2 linked regions of the Oryzias latipes genome follow. The protein of the gene in region 1 binds, or shares a complex with, the protein of each later gene. Links are inferred from orthologs where the notes say so. Each region holds a gene or a part of one and is shown on either strand. Other genes may lie near its edges. The genes, in order: washc4 and washc3.

Region 1 (4,259 bases):
CTTCAGTAACCTGAGCACGGAAACGCGTTCGTTTACGGTGACTGCATGTTTGCGTGTTGATTGAACAGGTGAGCGTCTTCACCTTTTGTACATCTTCCAGTGGTCTTTGAGGGTGCCGTGGTTTTCCATGATCTCATCCAGCGTGAGCAGCACCACCAGCAGCTCCCCCAGGTGTTCGTACACCGTCTGCAGAGACGCGCCGTGAGAAAAGGCTGCACCGCTTTGCTTTAGACTTTTACTAAAAACCTGCAAAGTCACCTGGAAGTGAACCCCCGACGTCTCGATGACCTTTGGTGCGACCCTTGGATTCACACAAAGAGAAATCAGGACGTTTGGAGAGAAAAGCACTTAACGCACAAAACAATGAATCAGAATCTGTCAATAAAATGATTTAAATCATTTAGATTAAGTGATTTTTTCCATTAAATTTCTAATATTAGAGGATTTCCTTCATTATGGCGATGACAAAAGAATATTTGACTGCGATGGTTTGGGTTCAAACAAAGGTGGACCTTCATCCCATCAGGAGGTCCTGGAATCAGAAGAGTTTAAGCAACGATCCCATCACGAAACAGCAAAGAGGGACATTCTGAAGGCTAAAAGATGCTGCCGTTTCCATGGAAACTGCTCGTCTCCTCGGGTGCGGCTGCAGGTGAATCTTCCAGCAGATTCATGAACAGGAAGAGCTTCCTTCCCTGGATTCAGTGTCTGGTCTTACTTGCTGCTGTTGTAGACGGCAGCCAGCTGGTGGACGATGCCGACCACCACCTCGTAGCACCGGGACACGAAGCAGGACAGCTCCTGTGACACAGAGAAGCTCCTGTAGCCGCATCCAGAAGACATCTGCAAACAAAGTCATGGAGGAGATGCCTTCATGCCCACCTGCAAGAACGAAATAAATCTGCCCATCTGGATCTGCGACTCTCCCTCAACGACGCTGCTTTCCGACACTGCAACACAAACCAGGAGGAGCGTTTGTGGAAGACGAAGAGCTGAGGTCAAAGCTGCAACAACGGTAGATAACAGACGAGGAATTACCCCCCTCTCCGTAGAACAGTAAGCCGTTATAGAACTTGGTTTCCGCCTGAAAAAGAAACGCCAGTAAATGAGTGCGTGGTGCGACCCGATCTGCTGCGGCTGGCGCGGCGCTCACCTCATACTTGAGCTTCTTCACTTCACTGCAGAGAGCCGCATAAACGGTGATCACTTTGTTCAGAACCTGAACGCAACAGGAGCGGTCAGCAGGGAGGAGATTCAGGACAAGAACTGCAGTCAGAAGCTTCTGCTCACCTTGTTGTCGGTTTTAATCAACTCCAACAAGGACGACTGTTCATACGGGACGAGCTGAAAGACACCAAACGGACAGAAGTTGGACTTCAGCGGCGCTAACGGGAGCAGCAGAGGCCGTGTCAGGACCGTTCACCTTCAGAGCGATCGGGTCCAGCGTAAAGTCCCAAACGTCTCCGATTGAGTCGTCCAAAGCCTCCTCGATGCCCTTCAGCTGAGAAGTGTACTCCTCCAGAAACCTGCTGTAGCTCTTCAGCTGGACCTCCGTGTGGATTTCTGTCAAGAGGAACGCTGAAGGTTAAGAACACCTGAGCTGAAGCTTTCACACCTGCTCCTTTTCAAAAGCATGGTTATCCTCAGATTTCTCCAAACGGACCAAATGAGGACGCCTCGTGACGAGCTCGTTCACATGTGAGACGGTCAGCGAGCAGCAAACCAGAAACGTGTTTGAAAAATGAAACACAACCAATGAGGACGTTTCAGGAGCAGCGTGGAGGCGCAGAGAACAGACGGGTCTTCCGTCAGCATCCAAGAAAAACTCAGAGGAGCTGCATTTCCAGAAGAAAAAGCAGGATTGAATGCTATTTTGCTGAATAATAATAATAGATACTTTATTTATCCCACAATGGGGAAATTTTTCTCCACGTTTGACCAATTTGGGAGCGGTGAGCTGCAGGCGAGGCGTTGGGGTCTTGCCTAAGGGCCCGCACTGGCTGATGTTGATTGCTCACCACTGGTATGATATTTGCCCAAGTACCGGGAATTGAACCCTGGATTCCTGCATGGTGGCCTCTCATCTTACCAACCGTGCTACCCAGCTGCTCAAATGACTCGAGAGCTTAGAGGGTAATAATTGGCAACAAAAAACTAGGAAATGATCAAAGTTGACCATAAGGTGAAAACAGCACAATAACAAAAAAGATATGTTTTTGAAAAATGCCAGAGCCGGGAATTGAACCAGCGAGCTTCTGCACCAAGGATTCTCCATGTATTTCAATGGAATAGTTCAAGGATTTGAAGTCATAGCTGAAAAAGCTGAAAAGCTAAAAGAGCTGAACATTTGAATAGTTGGATGCTTAAAATAGATGAAAAATTGTAGGAGGAGTTAAGTGGCTAAAAATGGTGGAACATAACAACTAGAATAAATAAAAGAGGAACAGGAAAACAATGTGAATGAACACAAACACAGTAATGTCTGTGAAAAGCTTGTCATGAGAAACTAAAGGGCTCTGAGTGGAAAAGTCCTCCACGGCTTCCGTAAATAACATTTACATGTAAACTAAATGATTAGGAACATCAGGTTGACATGCGTAGAAATAGCAGCTTTAAAGTTCTCCTAAAGTGAAAGTCAGAATGCTTTAATTCGCGCTGCTGTCAAACTGACCAGCTGTCACTCAGACTTCGGCTAACTTGACAGCTAGCTAGCTCTCATTTACACGCGCGTGCGTTGAACATTTGTCCGACCTACATTTATAGCAAGCATAAAACAAGTATAGATAAAATGTTTCATGTGAAAAGTAGTTTCATATGGAGACGATTTCCGCTTTGCAACAACATATACCGAAACGACCGAAAAGACTCGGGCTAGCATTGCGAAGCTTAGCTAACTACGTCCGCGGCTGCTTCCGCGCGCGCGGCTCGATAAAACACTTACTCTGAGAACCGTCATCAAAACGATCAAACTCCCAGTCGGGCGCGATGGTTTCCACCGCCATGGTACCAGAACTGACCAGAACTAACGCGGTGTTGTTAAAAAATGAAGCTACGGGATCTCATGACAGATCTTGTGATTTGCACAGCAGGTGCTCATGGGTAATGTAGTCCAGGGTAAATAAACCTGGTGTGCAATACAGACCCCCTGTCAAATACATTCAAAGTGCTTTCCAACGCAATAATGTGGAAGAGGAATAAAAAAACGTTGTTTGTTCTATTTTAAGGTAAGAGAAAAACAATTAAAAGCACAAAACATGTTGCAGGAATAAATCCTTAAGTGTGTGTAGATGGACAACATTCATACATGTTACTTTACTCCCTGGTCTATATGTTCTTGTTACTGTTTGTGTTTTGAAAGAGTAAGAAAAGCAACACAATCAGTAGTCAGCACATAAATGAGTAAAACTGAATCTGAAAGTGCACCCCCGGCCACAAACTTCACTGCCCGTCACTGGAGTGCACATGCACAGCATGCATGCACGTAACAACAAACTTCCTGTTGGACCGCTGAAGACCAGGAGTCTGCATGTTGGACATCAGTGTGAGGGTTCAATTACCACTGTGGTTCAGGAAACAGGAGATTTTTATTGTTACATGATCAGAAACCACTTTTCTCTGAAGAACAGAGACATGAAAACACAAATCTTCAATTCAAAGTTGTCAAATGAAGCAGAAAGAACACAAAGTTTTAAATGTTCTTCTTTCCACAAACACAATCTTCTCCTTCAGCTTCTTCTCTTGGTGTTTCTGTGGAGAACAAACCAGAGAAAGTCTGGGATGGTGACCTCACTGACTCCATTTGTGTTGCAGCTTCCTTCAGTTCCCATGACAACAACACAAAACCATTGGAATCCCAAAGTTCAAAGAAAACAGATTGGACTCCCAAAAGTTTGACATTCATATTCCAAAATGTCTCCAATCCACATTCTAGAGATTTTCCTTTCTCTCCATTTCTGACTACAAACATGACTCCACAGAATCTGAACAGTTCAAAAGTTTAGTTCTAGATGAAATCACTGAAAACAAACATTTCACTCCTTTCTGAAACTAGTTCACTTTACACAACTCTGCTGTGGATCCAGAACCCACCCACAGTCCAACATGGAGCGGCTGAGTGAAAGTGGTCTGGACTCTGTGGAGGAGAGTCATGCTTCCAGAGACGCTGTAGAAGGACAGAACACCTGCTCTGTGATCCAGGTCCACTCCTACTCTGGAGGAACCAGGAGCTGAGATGGAGGTTGCTATGCTGTCGTGGTAAA
Region 2 (4,440 bases), on another chromosome or scaffold:
GCTCCTTCACCTGACTTACGCCCGTGTTTGCTGAAGTTACGGAGAATCTCTCCAAGTAGCTCTGGATAACTTCAAAATCAATTTCCCCTCGAACTGAGCCTTTACACAGCTCCAAAATCAACTGAAATATGACAATATTTACTCAGCCATAAGATATAGACTACAAACACTCCTTTATGCAACACAAAAGACACTCACCCGAGCTCTTAGTCCAAGAATGAGCTGGGCTTTCTGTAGGGGGTTGATTAGGCCAGGAATGGCCTCTGTCACAGTAGACACAAAGTCCTGCAGCTTGTCGTAATTTAACACATCTTTATGCTTTGCAAGATGCCACACAGCAGCAGACAAAAGCTGGAGAGGGGGAACCAAGAGACGCAGGGATGACAGAGGCAAGCTGGGGTCTGAAAAAGAAAGGTGTGATGCAAAATATTGCCTATAGAGGGCAGTAATTAGCCTGTTTTTAGGCATGTTCATGCTACTACTAGAGGTGAAAAACCCCCACTCAAAAGTAGCATTACCTTACAAATAAAAAAATGATGTGCTGAATTTTAAATTTAAGATATTAAATTGTCTAAAAAAGAATTTTCTTAACCTTAACAAATGCTAAATTGGCGATGTGCCTTTCATGATCTGTTATGAAATTGAAATAAATGCTGGATTTACATCTATGTTAACGATTTAACATGGGAATATATTGACTGAAACGATTAAAATTCAACAACAATAAAAAGTACAACTGGTCTGTAAACGTAATGTATCACATAACAGAAAAAAACTACCTGTGATTTCATCAACATTAACAGTTAGCCAGTTTATACTCCACACCATTCCTTAAGTTAGTCGGGTCCCAAAGAGTATTTTCAAAGCATAAACGTGATTTACGACTACATTTATTAATCTGAATACACTTACGATTAGTTTGCTTCTTTGACCCAAAAACGTCCATTTGCATAGTCCAGCGTTAAAAGTCTGAAAATAACAGTAACTGTAAAAAAATATTTTTTATTGGTTTTTCTAGCTAACATGCGCTGTTGGGACGCAAACATCGTTTCCTCCAATGTTTTTGAGGGTTCCGCTTTCAAAATAAGAGTTTTCAGATTCAAAATCGAAAACATTGTTATGTAGTTTATGCATATTCGCAAATAAACACGAATATTTCAGTATGTATATTTTTTTATTTAAGATGGTATTGTTTTAAATGTATTATCAATAGATTATGTGCACAAGTTAAATGCCCAAAAACTAAGACGTTTCACCGCAGTGATAAAGTTGGTTGTTGACTAAACTTTATAGTATTTTAAACCAGATGTGAAATAACAGTGCTATAAAATGGAATTAGGGTTTTAAGTGTTGATATTTATTATTTAATCAATTTTAAACTTCAGATCCAATTTAATTCAATTTAATTCAATTCAATTTTATTTGTGTAGCCAAAATTCAAAACAACAGTCGTCTCAATGGGCTTTTCTACTCATTGACCTGAAAATATCCTTGTAGTTTTATTTAAATCCTCTCCATTCTTCTTGTAATTCTTTTTATTTAATTTTTTGTTTATTTTTCTATTTAGACACATTTTTTTAAAGTTTTCAAAATAAAAGCTGAAGTGTTAGGCCATTGGTGCAATATAGCGGAAGTGACAAGAGGAATAGGACGCGCTATGACGTAATTACGCAAGTCACATGAAACCTTCACTACAAACCTTTTTAATGTGCTGTTTTCTTTATTTACACCCCATGTAGACAGATTATAAACGATACTGGACGTTTGCGCGGAGTTTTAACGACCCAGCATGGACGAGGACGGTTTGCCAATCGTGGGGTCTGGAGTTGACCTCACGAAGGTTTGTGTTTTTTTTAGCTAACAGTCATGGTTCGCTTGTAGATCTCCGTGGGAATGAAAGAAGTAGCTGAAAGATTAGTCAAGTAAGACTTTATGGGATAATAAACATGATTTTAATCACATTATAATAGGATTCAATCAATATTCCCAACGATTTTGTATTTGCAGAATTATTTTTCGTGTTTTCTTTTACTTTAAAATGCATGTTTTTGTAAAGGCTGGCACTAAGCATGACTCTAAATTTCTCCAGAATCTGATAGGACTCGCTCTCATGTGTCATCGTTTTCCTGATTAAATGACTTTAAACTCCCTTCTAGGTTCCAGCTATACAGCAGAGACGAATTGTTGCCTATCTCAATCAGTTTGTTGTCCACACAGTTCGATTCCTGAACCGATTTTCCACAGTTTGTGAAGAGGTTTGTGCATCTTTTACATCGTTAAAGACCCACTTTGATGGAAATCCTGTATTTAACGTGTTTCTTGTGGGATTCATCTCAATATACTTAAGGGAATTAAGCTTACAATTGCATTTTTGAGTATTATTTAATTCAAATTGTTGTAAATCGGGAGCAGACGAAAAAATGCAGTTTGAAAAAGATTGTATTTGTGATGTAGAAAATGCGGCGGATGGGTCACAAGCTTCCTGCTCCTCTCCATGCTGATGCATCCATTTGTTGCAGACAAATAGATCCATGTATGTCTCTGTTTTCCCCGTCTGAACTGGAATCTGGCTCTAAACTGTACGGCTGGATAGCTCCAAAATTGCTCGCCATTTTTGTTGTCCTCTTAATGTCAGTTTACGGGTGTTTGAGGGGCTGTAAGCTTGGGGAGAGCATGTAAACAGATGGATGATAGGAAGTAGGGGCGGGCTTACTCTGCACCAACTGTCGAACAACAGTTTTTTTTTTGTTTTTTTTTACATTTTTGCCTAAAAAACAACATTAACATAGTTAAAAGACCAATGGAAACACATTCAATATAGATCAAAAGTTGATGATTGGGACTTTAAACTCGATTGACTTTGAATTTATCAGTGTCAAAATGTGTGAAGCCCTCATGGTGGGAACTCGATCAATCCAAAATATCAACATTTCCCCCACAGAAACTTGCAAACATATCCCTTCGCATCCAGCAGATTGATACCACCTTGTGCATTTTGGAGGCTAAGGTGAGCTGTCACACCCTTTTCAAATTGTCATGGATGTCATTTCTTTTTTTAACAAATGTTTTTGTTGTTGTTTTTTGTCTTTGTGGAGCAGTTGGCCTCCATTCCCGGGCTGGAGGAGGTCACAGTAGATGGACTGAACCAGCAGCACAGTGTGCAGACAAATGGGCCCACTCCAACCAGTCAAATCCAAACAGATGGGTCTTCAGTGGGAGCAGTTCCTTCCTCAGTGGTGAGTGTTCAGACTTGTTATAAAAAAGACACAAATATCCCAACCCCCCCTTCCCCCACAGTTTTTCACAAATTTATAGATTCAAACCTGATACATAAGGATTATGGTACATTCATATTGTGAAAGGTCGACCGATGATTTACCTTTTTACTATAGTTTTTTTTAATATATAATTATCTCTATTGATTTTCTTATTTTATTTTATGACAAACATGAAAATAATCCTAAAATAGCTTTACAAAATTTTTGTGTAATGTAGAATTCCTATGGGGTCAAATCCAGATCAACCTAAAGTGAAGGAAAAAACACAAAAAATAAAATTTAAAACTGTTTTAAACTCAAAAACAGATGTGAAAGAAATGTTGTAAATGTGAAAAGTATAATTGTAACTTTGAAAAAAAAAAAAAGATTTTAAACTTGAGAGGAATATAGAAAATTTGAAAAATAATTTTTTAAGTTGAAACTTAAAATTAAAAAGAAAAACTATAAACTTATAACTGTTACCAAATGAAAATTAACATATATTTGTAACAGCTGCTGTTTTGTATTGATGTACCAAACTTTGGGAGAGAATTATCACTACTGTTCGCCACATCAGAGGAGGGATGACACAGGCGGCGCCAACAACTACCGCTGTTGTGGAGCGGAAATGACATCATCATACCCTTTATGACCTGATGTCAATCATGTCCAGGTAGCCAATGGGCTCAAAGCCCCAGATAACAGTCAGAATTCTGAATTGATGACAAGTTTAGGTTTATGTTAAGTTGAGAATGTACTTTTATTTACTTATTTATTTTTTAAAATTTAATTTAATTAAAATAACCAAAGTGTACTTTTGAATTTAAAACTGTTCACTAATTTTCTCAATTGTTTTTAATTTTACTTTGTGGTTTTTCATTCCCTTCAAGCTGATCTCGATTTGACCCACATATTTCTCTTTTGTAGTTTTGAAATTTCCAATCTTGCTTTATTTACACAACAAATAAGGAACCAGTTAGTAATATAGACTGAATAGCAGGGATCTGGTTGCCTGTGTGCGTTACAGAAACATTCTGAGCATCTGTTTAGTGTACAGATATTATTTTCGCCATATTCATCAGGATTATAGTTTCCTTTAAAGCTGCTTTTCAACGTTTCTTCATGCTTCAGCCTCAGGAGGCACGACAAGAAGCTCCTGAGCAAAAAGCAGCAGCCGTTGCAG

The links.
Region 2: washc4 (region 1) and washc3 share a complex: the UniProt entries of both Homo sapiens proteins name them as parts of the WASH core complex. The link is inferred for Oryzias latipes from reciprocal best matches to the Homo sapiens genes WASHC4 and WASHC3.

What each region holds. Positions count from the first base shown.
Region 1 is NC_019864.2:31,032,920-31,037,178, reverse strand, and holds the start of washc4 (WASH complex subunit 4), read right to left. Parts: upstream 3,094-4,259; 5' UTR 3,003-3,093; coding exon 2,942-3,002; intron 1,564-2,941; coding exon 1,424-1,563; intron 1,345-1,423; coding exon 1,291-1,344; intron 1,220-1,290; coding exon 1,154-1,219; intron 1,085-1,153; coding exon 1,039-1,084; intron 951-1,038; coding exon 883-950; intron 802-882; coding exon 719-801; intron 302-718; coding exon 259-301; intron 187-258; coding exon 83-186; intron 11-82; coding exon 1-10. Other genes in the region: tripartite motif-containing protein 16-like, read right to left, coding at 4,048-4,259. UniProt on the Homo sapiens protein: Acts as a component of the WASH core complex that functions as a nucleation-promoting factor (NPF) at the surface of endosomes, where it recruits and activates the Arp2/3 complex to induce actin polymerization, playing a key role in the fission of tubules that serve as transport intermediates during endosome sorting.
Region 2 is NC_019881.2:17,520,735-17,525,174, forward strand, and holds the start of washc3 (WASH complex subunit 3), read left to right. Parts: upstream 1-1,640; 5' UTR 1,641-1,789; coding exon 1,790-1,840; intron 1,841-2,156; coding exon 2,157-2,255; intron 2,256-2,941; coding exon 2,942-3,007; intron 3,008-3,098; coding exon 3,099-3,236; intron 3,237-4,388; coding exon 4,389-4,440. Other genes in the region: zinc finger protein 252, read right to left, coding at 20-121, 199-401, 913-952. UniProt on the Homo sapiens protein: Acts as a component of the WASH core complex that functions as a nucleation-promoting factor (NPF) at the surface of endosomes, where it recruits and activates the Arp2/3 complex to induce actin polymerization, playing a key role in the fission of tubules that serve as transport intermediates during endosome sorting.